Linked DNA regions of Elephas maximus indicus. The protein of the gene in region 1 interacts with the protein of each later gene in a pairwise test. Links are inferred from orthologs where the notes say so. Each region holds a gene or a part of one and is shown in the gene's direction. Other genes may lie near its edges.

The links.
Region 2: the proteins of CBY2 (region 1) and C3H19orf44 interact in binary tests that used the Homo sapiens proteins (3 or more experiments, as listed by UniProt). The two-hybrid records come from large-scale screens. The link is inferred for Elephas maximus indicus from reciprocal best matches to the Homo sapiens genes CBY2 and C19orf44.
Region 3: the proteins of CBY2 (region 1) and DZIP1L interact in binary tests that used the Homo sapiens proteins (3 or more experiments, as listed by UniProt). The two-hybrid records come from large-scale screens. The link is inferred for Elephas maximus indicus from reciprocal best matches to the Homo sapiens genes CBY2 and DZIP1L.

The regions. Positions count from the first base shown.
Region 1 is NC_064832.1:34,356,979-34,360,729, reverse strand, and holds the start of CBY2 (protein chibby homolog 2), read left to right. Parts: upstream 1-1,445; coding exon 1,446-1,520; intron 1,521-1,823; coding exon 1,824-1,904; intron 1,905-3,751.
Region 2 is NC_064821.1:36,721,259-36,725,009, forward strand, and holds the start of C3H19orf44 (uncharacterized protein C19orf44 homolog), read left to right. Parts: upstream 1-952; 5' UTR 953-1,055; intron 1,056-3,751. Other genes in the region: CALR3 (calreticulin-3), read right to left, coding at 307-408, 618-708.
Region 3 is NC_064844.1:39,517,277-39,521,027, forward strand, and holds the start of DZIP1L (cilium assembly protein DZIP1L), read left to right. Parts: upstream 1-1,056; 5' UTR 1,057-1,743; coding exon 1,744-1,746; intron 1,747-3,286; coding exon 3,287-3,751. UniProt on the Homo sapiens protein: Involved in primary cilium formation. Probably acts as a transition zone protein required for localization of PKD1/PC1 and PKD2/PC2 to the ciliary membrane.

The DNA.
Region 1 (3,751 bases):
TGGGCGTTAGTCACTTAAAGGAATCCTGAGACAAGCTCCCTTATAAAAAATGAAGAATTCTTTGAAAATGCAATTAATGGCCTTCTTGATTTTTGAGTAGCTATATTTTCCAATTTTTGTACATCGGGTTTCTTAAAGCAGGGTGTAACTTGTAACTTGGGCGTGGGAGACTCTGAATGGCAGCTAAGGTGTCCCTGGACCTGCTGACCCTGGCCCGCCATTTTCTTCCCTGCATATGGCATACTAATAGGGAATTGGGGCTCTCTGGTTAATCAGAGGCTTAAGTTACATCAATAACCAGAACGAATGTCCCCATGAGCAGCCTCTGATAGAATTAAGACCAAATTCTCATGGTAACCACAGAGAAAGTAAATAAAAAATTATATACAGAATAAAACCAAACCCAAACCCATTGCTTCTGAGTCAATAAATGGCTCAGCACATACACACCAAAAATCTATATACAAAATAAGTCAGCACTGGAGGGAAAGGGGAACAAAAATGGGCTAAATCACACAGAAAACTAGTAACAAAATGGCAGAAGTTAAGTCCTCCTTTATCTATAATTACTGTGAATGTAAATGGATTAAACACGTGAGTCAAGAGGCTGAGAGTGGCAGATTGGGTTAAAAAAAAAAAGACTCATCTATACGGTGTTGGCAAAGAATATTGAATATACCATGGACTGCCAAAAGAATGAACAAATCTGTCTTGGAAGAAGTACAGCCACAATGCTCCTTAGAAGCGAGAATAGCAAGACTTCACCTCACATACTTTAGACATGTTATTGGGAGGGGACCAGTCCCTGGAGAAGGACATCATGTGTAGTAAAGTAGAGGGTCAGCGAAAAAGAGGAAGACACAGTGGCTGCAAAAATGGGCTCAAGCATAAGAATTGTGAGGATGGCGCAGGACGGGGCAGTGTTTCATTCTGTTGTACATAGGGCTGTTGTGAGTCAGAACTGACTCGGCAGTACCTAATAACAACAAGAACAACATATGCTGTCTACAAGAGACATGTCTTAGGCACAGAGGCACAAAAAGGTGAAGGCGAATTGGAAAATTTTGTCGAGAGGGGCTGGGCTGCTCCCCTCACAAAGCTCAGATGTCAGCCTTGTGATCTTGATGCAGTTTCTACATTTCCTCCTTTGGCCTGGGCAGAGTTCAGTTTGGGTTCCTTCCTTCTTCAGTGGTCCAACTCCAAGCAGAAGATGCCATGTCTAGAGAGAGGGAAGCAGTCTCAGCCCAGCCTTGCAGTGGGGATGTGAATGGCAGCTGGGATGACCAAACAGGGGCTGCTGTTTGGGCTATTGTGTGTCACACTGACCTGGCCAGGTATGTGGACACAGCCAGGGGCAAGCTCTTCCTGGCCTTCTGATGCCTTATTACCTCCTGCAATGCTCAGAGAGAAACCATGAGCCCTGAAGAACACCATATGGTTTTGTGATGTCACCTCTGGAATGTTCTGAGTGTTTGGATGACCAACTTCTGCAGCAGACCTATACCTGGCACCTCACACTGGTATGCCTTTTTTACTTGAGATAGAAATAATAATCTTAGACAAGGATGTAGGTATGACTGTCTCTGCTTCAAAGACACCCAGAAGGCTTTCACATCAGCTAAAACATCTGTCTTAATTTCTGTTCAGAGACTGATGAACATCTTACCAGATATCATCCACACATTCTTTTAGACTTGGGTTTTCATAATGTCCATGATGGCCCAGAGGGGAATAAAGAAGTACGAAGTGTTGTTTTTCCAGTGCCCAACTGAGGCCCAGAGAATGAGCTGGGAAGCAGAAATCTTATTTTCTCTTTTCCACAGAATTCCTGGCCAAATTTTACAAGGAACAGAGATACCAGATCTGAAAACGTAGAAATTCCAATCAGTGTGGTTCTACTTCAGGTAGGGATTATGACAGAAGGGTGTAACCGCCACATTAGTCAGACTAATCCTCCTCTTTCCAAACTCTAGCATGACGTCTCGGAACAAGTAGAGGAGGCAGGGCCTCAGATTCCAGTTCCGGGTTGGTTGCCGACCAGCTATATGTCTGGGAGAGGCAACTTTGCTACTCTGGGACTTGGATTTCTCTTCCCTCACTTGAAGGGGTTGGGCTAGATCATTCCCTAAGACTTTCCAGTTCTAACATATCAAGTCTCTACAATTCTCTGAAAAAACCTGACCTTCTCAAAATGAGATCTTTTGGCACTAGCCGTTGTGCAACCAGTCTGGATTTCTGGGGGCAGAAATAGGACTAGGTCTTGCAATCAAAAGTATGCAAGCAAATCCATTAGAAGGCCTAGTATACAGACCAAGGGATACAAGACTATTTGGAGGTGTCAAGAGAATTAAGCCCAAAGAAGTAAAAAAAATAATAAAAAATTTTTACTTCTTTTTATGTATCAAAGAAGGAGCTCTGGTGGTACGATGGTTAAGTGCTCGGCTGCTAACAGGAAGGTCAGTGGTCTAAACCCACCAGCAGTTCCACAGAAGAAAAGATCTGGTATCTGCTCCTGTAAAGATTACAGCCTAGTGAACCAGATGGGGCTGTTCTACCGTGTCCTAGAGGGTCACTATCAATCAGTTGATTTGACAGCACATAGCAACACCAATGTATCAAAGAGGAGTCCCTGGGTGGTGAAAATGGTTAAGTGCTCGGCTGTTAACTGCAAAGTTGAACGTTCTAATGCATACAGAGGCACCTTAGAAGAAAAGTCTGGCAATCTACTTCCAAAAAATCAGCCATTGGAAACACCACGGAGCATGTTTCTACTCTGACACACGTAGGGTCTGCATGAGTTGGAACCAACTCAATGGCAACTGGTTTTTATGTACCAAAGACAGAGGGCTTAGGGGAGACTGGCATGCTTTTATGATAGGGATTCAGGCAGAGGTCAATGAATTGGTAAAGTCCTGACAGGCTTGGAATACCCAGATTTCCTCCTGCTGTTTCCTTGGTGGGGTCCTGATTGGATTCCTACTGCTGCTATGTCACAAAGGGTCAGACTTACTTCTCCAGAGTCACTTAAGGCCCTGTTTGAAGACTATGGACGGGCAGCCAGAGGGGCTGAAATGTAGGGTGGAGGAGTCAAATGCAGAGGTAACGATCTGAAAGCTCTGTCCAGGGATGTGTACGAGGAGGCTCGATTGCCAGTGGGCATTCCATATTATTTTTATTTTCCTAAAGTTTTTTCTTAAGAATTTTCAGGAGAAGTACATGATTAGAAAGAAAACCTTTAGCATTCTTTGGGGTCGACTCTGACTCATGGTGACCCTATGTGTGTCAGAATAGAACTGTGCTCGATAAAGTTTTCAGTGGCTGATTTTTGGGAATTAGATTGCCAGGTCTTTCTTCCAAGGTGGCTCTGGGTAGACTTGAACTGCCGACGTTTTGGTGAGTAGTTGAGCTTATTACTTGTTTGGAGCACTCTGGGACTCCCATTCTTCCTATAAACCAAAGAACCAATCTCATTGCCATCACATTACAGCGTAGAGCTGAGGTCCACAGGATTTTGTTGGCTGTTATCTTTACGGAAGTAGATCTCCAGGCCTTTCTTCTGTGATGCCTCTGGGTGGGTTCAAACTGCCAACCTTTGGGTTAGTAGTTGAGTGTAAACGATTTGCACCACCCAGGGACCACCTCCATTCTTTATAAGTTGTTGTTGTTTGTACATGGTGGAGGTAATTTTTACAATCTAGGCAATATGTTCAGCAAGAGGGAAAAATACAGGACAAGAAAACATTCTGGATAT
Region 2 (3,751 bases), on another chromosome or scaffold:
ACTGCCAACCTTTTGCTTAGCAGCGAGCTCCTAACTGTTGTGCTACCAAGGCTCCTCCGTAAAGATTACAATCTAGGAAACCCTAGGAGACAGTTCTCTCTGTCATTTTGTAGAGTCACTACGAGTGGAAATTGACTGGGAGGCAACTAACAAGTGCTCATAAAACAACTCCCTAAAGTCCTTGTCTTCCTTTCCTCACCTGTAAAATAGATGTAACAGGTGTTGGAGGGGTCACCACACCTACCTTGCAAAGTTGCTAGGGGCGTTAAGCATTTAGCTTCATTTTCCCAGGATCCCTACACTAACCTTTATCTTTCTCCTTATGACCATAAAACTTCCCCGACGAGAGTCTAAAATGCCCGAATTGTGAGTCATTGGTGGACTGCACCCATCGGTTCCTCCAGCGCTCTGTGGGGGGAAACAACACCGGTGAGGGCTGAAAACTATTAGTTTGTGTCATTGGGAGGGTGAGGGGGCGCTCGAGGCCTCGAAACATCGAGGCTCCGCCACCCTCAACCCCGCAACAAGGGGCCTGGGGCCAACGGCGACACGGCCGTCCGTTGGGCAGCGAAGTGGGGGGTCCTCACGCCCTCGCCAGCGGACGTGGCCCCTTTCACCTCCGTCTAGAAACTCCTCCTGGAAGTAAACGGTGGCCAGCGCCACCCGCAGCAAGCAAACCACCCACAGCTGGACCTCAGCCGCCGCCATGGAGGCCAGGTGGCGCCTCTACGACTGCTCCTCGCTCCCAGTAGCCTCCTCGCAGCTTGCCGGCCCGTCCCAAAACTACAACTCCCGGCAGGCCCCGTGATTATGACCCGGCCTCCTATTGGTCCCCTGCGCGCGGTGCACGCCGGGCCTACCCCAGACCTACTACTCCCATGACGCCCCGCGATTGTGACTGGCTATGCCATTAGTCTCCGCAGCGCAGTGCATGCCGAGAGTTGTAGTCTAGTCTCTTCCTCCCCAGTGCTGTTGCCCGGGCAACGGTCCCCTCCGGCCTGGGTGCCAGGCCTGAGCGCGGCGGCGGCCACCGCGGATGGACAGCGTGGGAGGAGGTCGGAGGGGCCGGTGGGCGGCAGCTGGGCGAGGGGCGCTCCAGCTCGGGAGATGACTGGGAGGAAATGGGGGCACTCTTCAAAGCTGGGATTGGGGGCGACGGAGAGAGCGAACCTCAGTTTCTCTGCCTGGGCCCCACTCAGGAGCGTGGTCCGGTGCAGGTGGCACCCAGGGTCTGGGGGAAGAGCCGGGATGGTGTGAGCAGCGGCAGTGTTTTCAAAGTTTGGTTTATTTATTTTGACAACTCTGGTGGCGTAGTGGTTAAGAGCTATCGCTACAAACCAAAAGGTTGGCGGTTCAAATCCACCAGGCGCTCCTTGGAAACTCTGTGGGGCAATTCTACTCTGTCCTGTAGGGTTGCTATGAGTTGGAATTGACTCGACGGCAACGGGTTTGGTTTTTTGGTTTCATTGAGGTTAGTGGTGTCACTAGGAGGGCACTGTTAGAGAGGGTGACTTTAAAATGACCCCAGGGTCCGAGGCGGTGGGCACACGGATGCAGCTGGGGCAGGGGCCGTCAACGCGGTGGCGTCACTAGGGCTGGATTCACCTGTCACCCAGTGCGGTAACTCGTCACTCCCCCCTTCACCCGCCAGTTAAGGTATCAGCAGCTGGGTCTTGGTACCTGCCATAGGGCGAAAAGGAGAGTTTGGCCCACGGGAAAGGGGAGGAGCTGTGGGGACAGGCCGAGCCTGGCTGCTCCTCCAACCAGGGGGGGTTTCGCGGCCAGCCCCGCCCACTCCGGCCGGGGGTCGGGTAGGGGTGTGTGACACCGTGAGGTACCACACTGGGCGATACCAACACAAGTGATGCCGCAGATTGAGGTATCATTTACATAAGAATTACTCATTTTAAATGTACCTGTATCAGTTGCATAGAATCACTTCCTACTCCTGTGGACCCCATGCTGTATCAGTGTTGAACCGTGCTCCATAGGGTTCCCCCCCCATAGGGTTTTAAGTGGCTGAGGTTTCAAAAGTAGATCGCCAGACCTTTCCTCCAAGGTGCCTCTGAGTGGACCTCCAGCCTTTCAGTTCGCGGGCGAGCGTGTTCACTGTTTGCACCACCCAGGGACTCCTTTTAAATGTACAATTCCATTATTTTTAGTAAATTTACCAAGTTTAGCAGCCACCACCCCTCTCCAGCTTTAGAACATTTCCATCACCCAAAGAACATCCTTCCCACCCCTAGTCCCAGGCAACTACCAATTTACTTTCTGTCTCTATGAATTGGCCTGTTGTGGACATTTCAAACAAGTGGAATCATAACCTATGTGGCATTTTGCATCTGGTTTCATTCCCTGTACCATGATGTGTTTGAGATTTATCCATGTTGTTATATCTGTATTTGTTCTTCTTTATGGCTGTATAGTATTCCATTGTATGGCTAGACCACAATTTGTTTATCCATGTGTCAGTTTGTGAACATTTGGGTTATTTCCACTTTTTGTATATTACAAATGATAGCTGTCATGAATATTTGCATATGAGTCTTTGTGTGGATATATTTTCAGTTTTCTTGGGTATATGCCTAGGACTGGAATTGCTGGGTCATATGGTAGTTCTGTGTTCAGCTTTTTGAAGAACTGCCAGATGGTTTTCCCTCGTTCCTTTTTAAAAAATATTTTATTGTGTTTCTGGTGAAAGTTTACACAGCAAATTAGGTCCCCGTTTAACAATTTCTATACACACTGTTAAGTGACGGTTACGTTTTTCACCATGTGTCAACATTCTCATTATTTCCATTCTGGTTGTTCTGTTGCCATTAATCTAGCTTCCCTGTTCCCTGCCCCCTCCCACCACCACCCTTACCTTCTCATCTTTGCCTTAGGGTAAATGTTGACTGTTTAGTCTAATATAGATGATTCCCTTGTTCCTTTTTAATGGATGTATAGTCGTCCACTGTCTGGATGGGTCTCCTGGACCTCACCAGTTCTCTAGGGATGGATTTAGGCTTTCGGTGAACACAAACAATGCTGCCATGAGTTTCCTTGAACATACGTCTTCATTCTCCCCCACGCTTTTTTAATTGTGGTGAAAATATTTACACTAAAACATATACCATCTCAACAACTTCGACATGTGCAAGTCAGTGATATTAATTATATTCTTCAAATTGTGTACCCATTCTTGCTATCCTTTTCCAAATTATTCCACCACCGTTAACATAAACTCACTGCCCCCTAAGCAGAAACACTCCTTTCCCTGCTCTCCCGCCCCCTGACAACCACTGATAGTCTTTGGTTTCTATATATTTGCTTGTTTCACGTAAGTGAGATCATACGGCATTCCTCCTTTTGTGACTGATTTATTTCACTCAGCATGATGTTTTCAAGGTTTGTCCATGTTGTAGCGCACATCAGGATTTCGTTTCTCTATATGGCTGAGGACTATTCCATTGTGTGCATATACCATATTGTGTTTATCCATTTATCTGTCAGTGGACACATTTTGGTTGTTTCCACCTTTTGGCTGTTGTGAAAATGCTGCAGTGAATGTTGGTGGAGAGGTTTCTGTTTGCGTTCTTGCTTTCACTTCTAGGTAGATACCTGGGTTTGGGATTGCTGGGTCGTATGATAGTTCTATGTTCAGTTTTTTGAGGAACTGCCAAACCATTTCCCACAGCAGGTGCACCATTTTACATTCCCACCAGCAATGGATGAGGGCTCTAGTTTCTCTACCACCTCACCAACACCA
Region 3 (3,751 bases), on another chromosome or scaffold:
ATCTATACTGAGAGGAAGGATAGCATAATGACTAAGAGCCCAGTCTCTGGAGCCAGGCTGCCTAGGCTTGATTCCTGCTTTCTGGACCTTGGGAAAGATTTTTTTTTCTCTTTAGTTTAGATAATAATAGTACCTACCTCAACAGGTATTGTCTTGGTCATCTAGTGCTGCTGTAACAGAAATACTGCAAGTGGATGGCTTTAACAAAGAGAAATTTATTCTCTCATAGTCTAGTAGGCTACAAGTCCAAATTCAGGGAGTTAGCTCCAGGGGAAGGCCTTCTCTCTCCAACTCTGGAGGAAGGTCCCTGTCATCAATCTTGCCTTCGTCTAGGAGCTTCTCTGCACAGGAACCTTAGGTCCAAATGATGTGCTGTGCTCTGGGCGCTGCTTTCTTGGTGGTATTAGGTCCCCAGGTCTGTCTCTTCGCTACTCTCTTTTATATCTCAAAAGAGATTGGCTTAAGATACTATCTAATCTTGTAGTTCTCATTAATATGACTGCCACTAATTCATCTCATTGCATCACAGTGGTAGGATCTACAATCACTTCAATGACAAAATGGTAGACAATCGTACAATACTGGGAATGATGACCTAGCCAAGTTGACAGATATTTTTGGGGGACACAATTCAATCCATGGCAGGTATTCTGAGGAGTACATGAGCTATTCTTTGTAAAGCACTTAAAAATACAATAAATATGTTATATATTATATAAAATATAATAAATAAATATAAATAAAATAAACAGCCCAGAGGTATGAAAGTATGGACAGTAATATCGTAAGTGGAGATGTAGCTAGAAAGGTAGTTTGGAACAGTTCATAGATGTCTTTGAATGTCTTCTTAAAGAATTTCAAGCCCATGTGGAACACATAAAATCCATTCCCATATGGCTGAAGCACAATGGTGACTGCCTTTTTTAAAGAAGACCTGTACTCTTCAGGTTGTCACAATCCCCAACACTCCCTACTGCAGTGGTTTTGAGTCAGTTGGCCTAGGTTGAGACCAAAGGACCTGCATTTCTAACAAGTTTCCAGGTGATACTGATGTTGCTCGTCCAGGGACCACACTTTGAGAACCACTGATTTATTATATTTTGGACTCCAAGATGGGGAATCAGTTGCCATTTATCATCAAGCTTGTACTATGGCTTCTCTTATTCTTGGCCCATTTCAGGCATTTATTTATTTTATGAAAAATTATACTCATGCATTCTTGGCCCCTGTGGCACTTGAGCCACATTTCCTGGTATAATCAGTATGGGAGGGCTGGGTCTAGAGGCCTCAAGAAATAAATGCCCAGAAAGAGATTTGGGAGAGTCTGAGGCTCAGCTTGAAGAAGGGTTATGGGTAGCTGAAGCTGCAGCCATGTGTGAACTCATCCCCAGGAAGAGTGTGCAGGGAGAAATGGGTTGTGGGTGAACAGCAGAGTATCAAGGGGGCACTAGGAAGGATGGAAGAGGCTGGGAGGAGAATTCAAAGAGGTAGGAGGAAAGCAGAGAGAGAGTTGATGGAGAGTTCTCTGTGTTGTTATTAGAGAGAGGGCTGTTGGCAAACATCTGAAGCCAAAGCTTAAATAGTTAAACAAGTAGTTCTCGGGTGAGCTCACAGTCTGTGGGAGGTCAGGAAGCAGGTATCCTGTTACCCTTGCTCACAGCATGCCTGGTAACCTGCTGTTGCTCCGAGGCACGGCTTGTTGTGAGCAATTGTCTCTGAGGCTCAGGTAGCTTGGAGCTGAGCATGGTGAGTATTGTGTCGCCTACCCTTTTTTTTTTTTTTTTCGTAACCCTGCATGTTAAGTAGAAGTGTGCTTGTCTTTCTCTTGATGGTCATGGTAGGGGTACTTGCAGCTGGATAGTTTTGTTTCTGGAGCACTTATTGGGGAAGAGTGTCTGAGAAGGGAAAGATGGGAGCTAAAACTGAAAAGGCGAGTGGGCAGCATTCAGTGGGTGGTCTTGAAGACCAGGGTTTGGACTTGGTACTGTGGAAAACAAGCAGCTGTGAGGAGCTCTTGAGATGTGGTTAATACATGTTGGTAACCCAGCACCGGGCACTAGGGCTGACACACGTAGGCGTTCTGTAAATGAAGATAAAAAAAAAAAAGATATATATATATATTTTTTAAATTGGCAAATCAATGAATTGGAGTTTTGAGGGACGAGAAATTTTAGAACAAATAACCCCAAGAGTCAGTGTTGGGTGGTTCAACATCCACAAGTTTTGGAGCTAGAAACACCTGCAATTGTACTTCAGCTCTGGCCTCCCTACCTACAGTTTAACTTCTCTAAGACATCAGTTTCATTGTTTATAAACAATAATGATACTTGTTTGTGGGTTGGTAGGTGGTATTTGTATCTAGCACAGAGGCTGGTACTCCCTGCATAGGGGCCAGTATTATTATTCTTTTTTTAATTAATTTTTATTGTGCTTTAAGTGAAAGTTTACAAATCAAGTCAGTCTCTCATACAAAAATTTATATACACCTTGCTATACACTCCTAATTGCTCTCTCCCTAATGAGACAGCACACTTCTTCCCTCCACAGGGCCAGTATTATTACTGAGTGCTTTCCCCTCACATCTTCTCCGATCCTGTCCTGTGAGGTAGGCAGGACAGGCATTATTGCTACCTTTTACGGATGAAGCCAGTGAGGTCCCGTGAGGTGCCTTTCCTGGAGGGCCTTCCCTTGTTGCATACCCAGCCCTACCATTTCTTCAAGGCCTTTCTCTTTCACGAGGTCAATGACCCTGTAATTACAGGAGAAAGAGAGGACACAGTGTGGTGGTCATTTGGTGGCTCTGCACCCGTGTTAAGTTGCTGTACTTTATCCTGAGGTAAATGTAGGCTGCAGAAGGACCAATTCATACATTTGACAGCTCTTTCCCTGACCGAGACCTCTGACAGGCACTTAGGCAGTAGAGGTGAGTCTGGGGGAGGGGGATTCACTGGGGACCTACTATGTGCCAGGCTCTGGGCTGGGTACTTCAAATGCCTCGTTCCTAACCACAACCTTACAAAATGGGCCCTGTAGTCCCCAGTTTACACAGGAGGCTTTAAGATATGGAGGGACTTGCTGAAGGCTAAGGAATTGAATCCATATCTGTGTGACTGCAAAGACCACACCCTTTCTTTCCACAGCTCTGGCCACATTAGCTCATATCACACAAACCACAGTCGCTAGGTAGACACGTCACCTCACCCTGCTTAGGCTCTTACTAGCCAGGTGTGTGGTGCATGTAACCACATGCACCTTGACCAACTTGGACTCACTTCTAATTTTCTAGGCCCTCTCTCAGGTCATTGGCCTGCTGCCGTGGCCTTGGTGGCACCCTTCTTCGGTGGTCAGCCCCAGGCTTCTCCCTCCCATGCAGTCCTCTGCAGCCACTACTGAGGGCCTCAGCAGCCCGCTCTTTGGGGCCTACACATTCCCTGCCTTCAAGTTCCAGCTGCGCCATGACAGCGTGGACTGGAGGCGCATCAGCGCCCTGGATGTGGAACGAGTGGTGCGGGAGCTGGACGTGGCCACCCTGCAGGAGAACATCGCTGGCGTCACCTTTTGCAACTTGGACGGGGAGACGTGCAGCCGCTGCGGACAGCCTGTGGACCCAGTGCTGCTCAAGGTACTGCGCCTGGCGCAGCTCACCATTGAGTACCTGCTACACTGCCAGGATTGCTTGAGTGCCAGCGTTGCCCAGCTTGAGGCCCAGCTGCAGGCCAGCATGGGTCAGCAGGAGCGTGGTCAGCAGGAG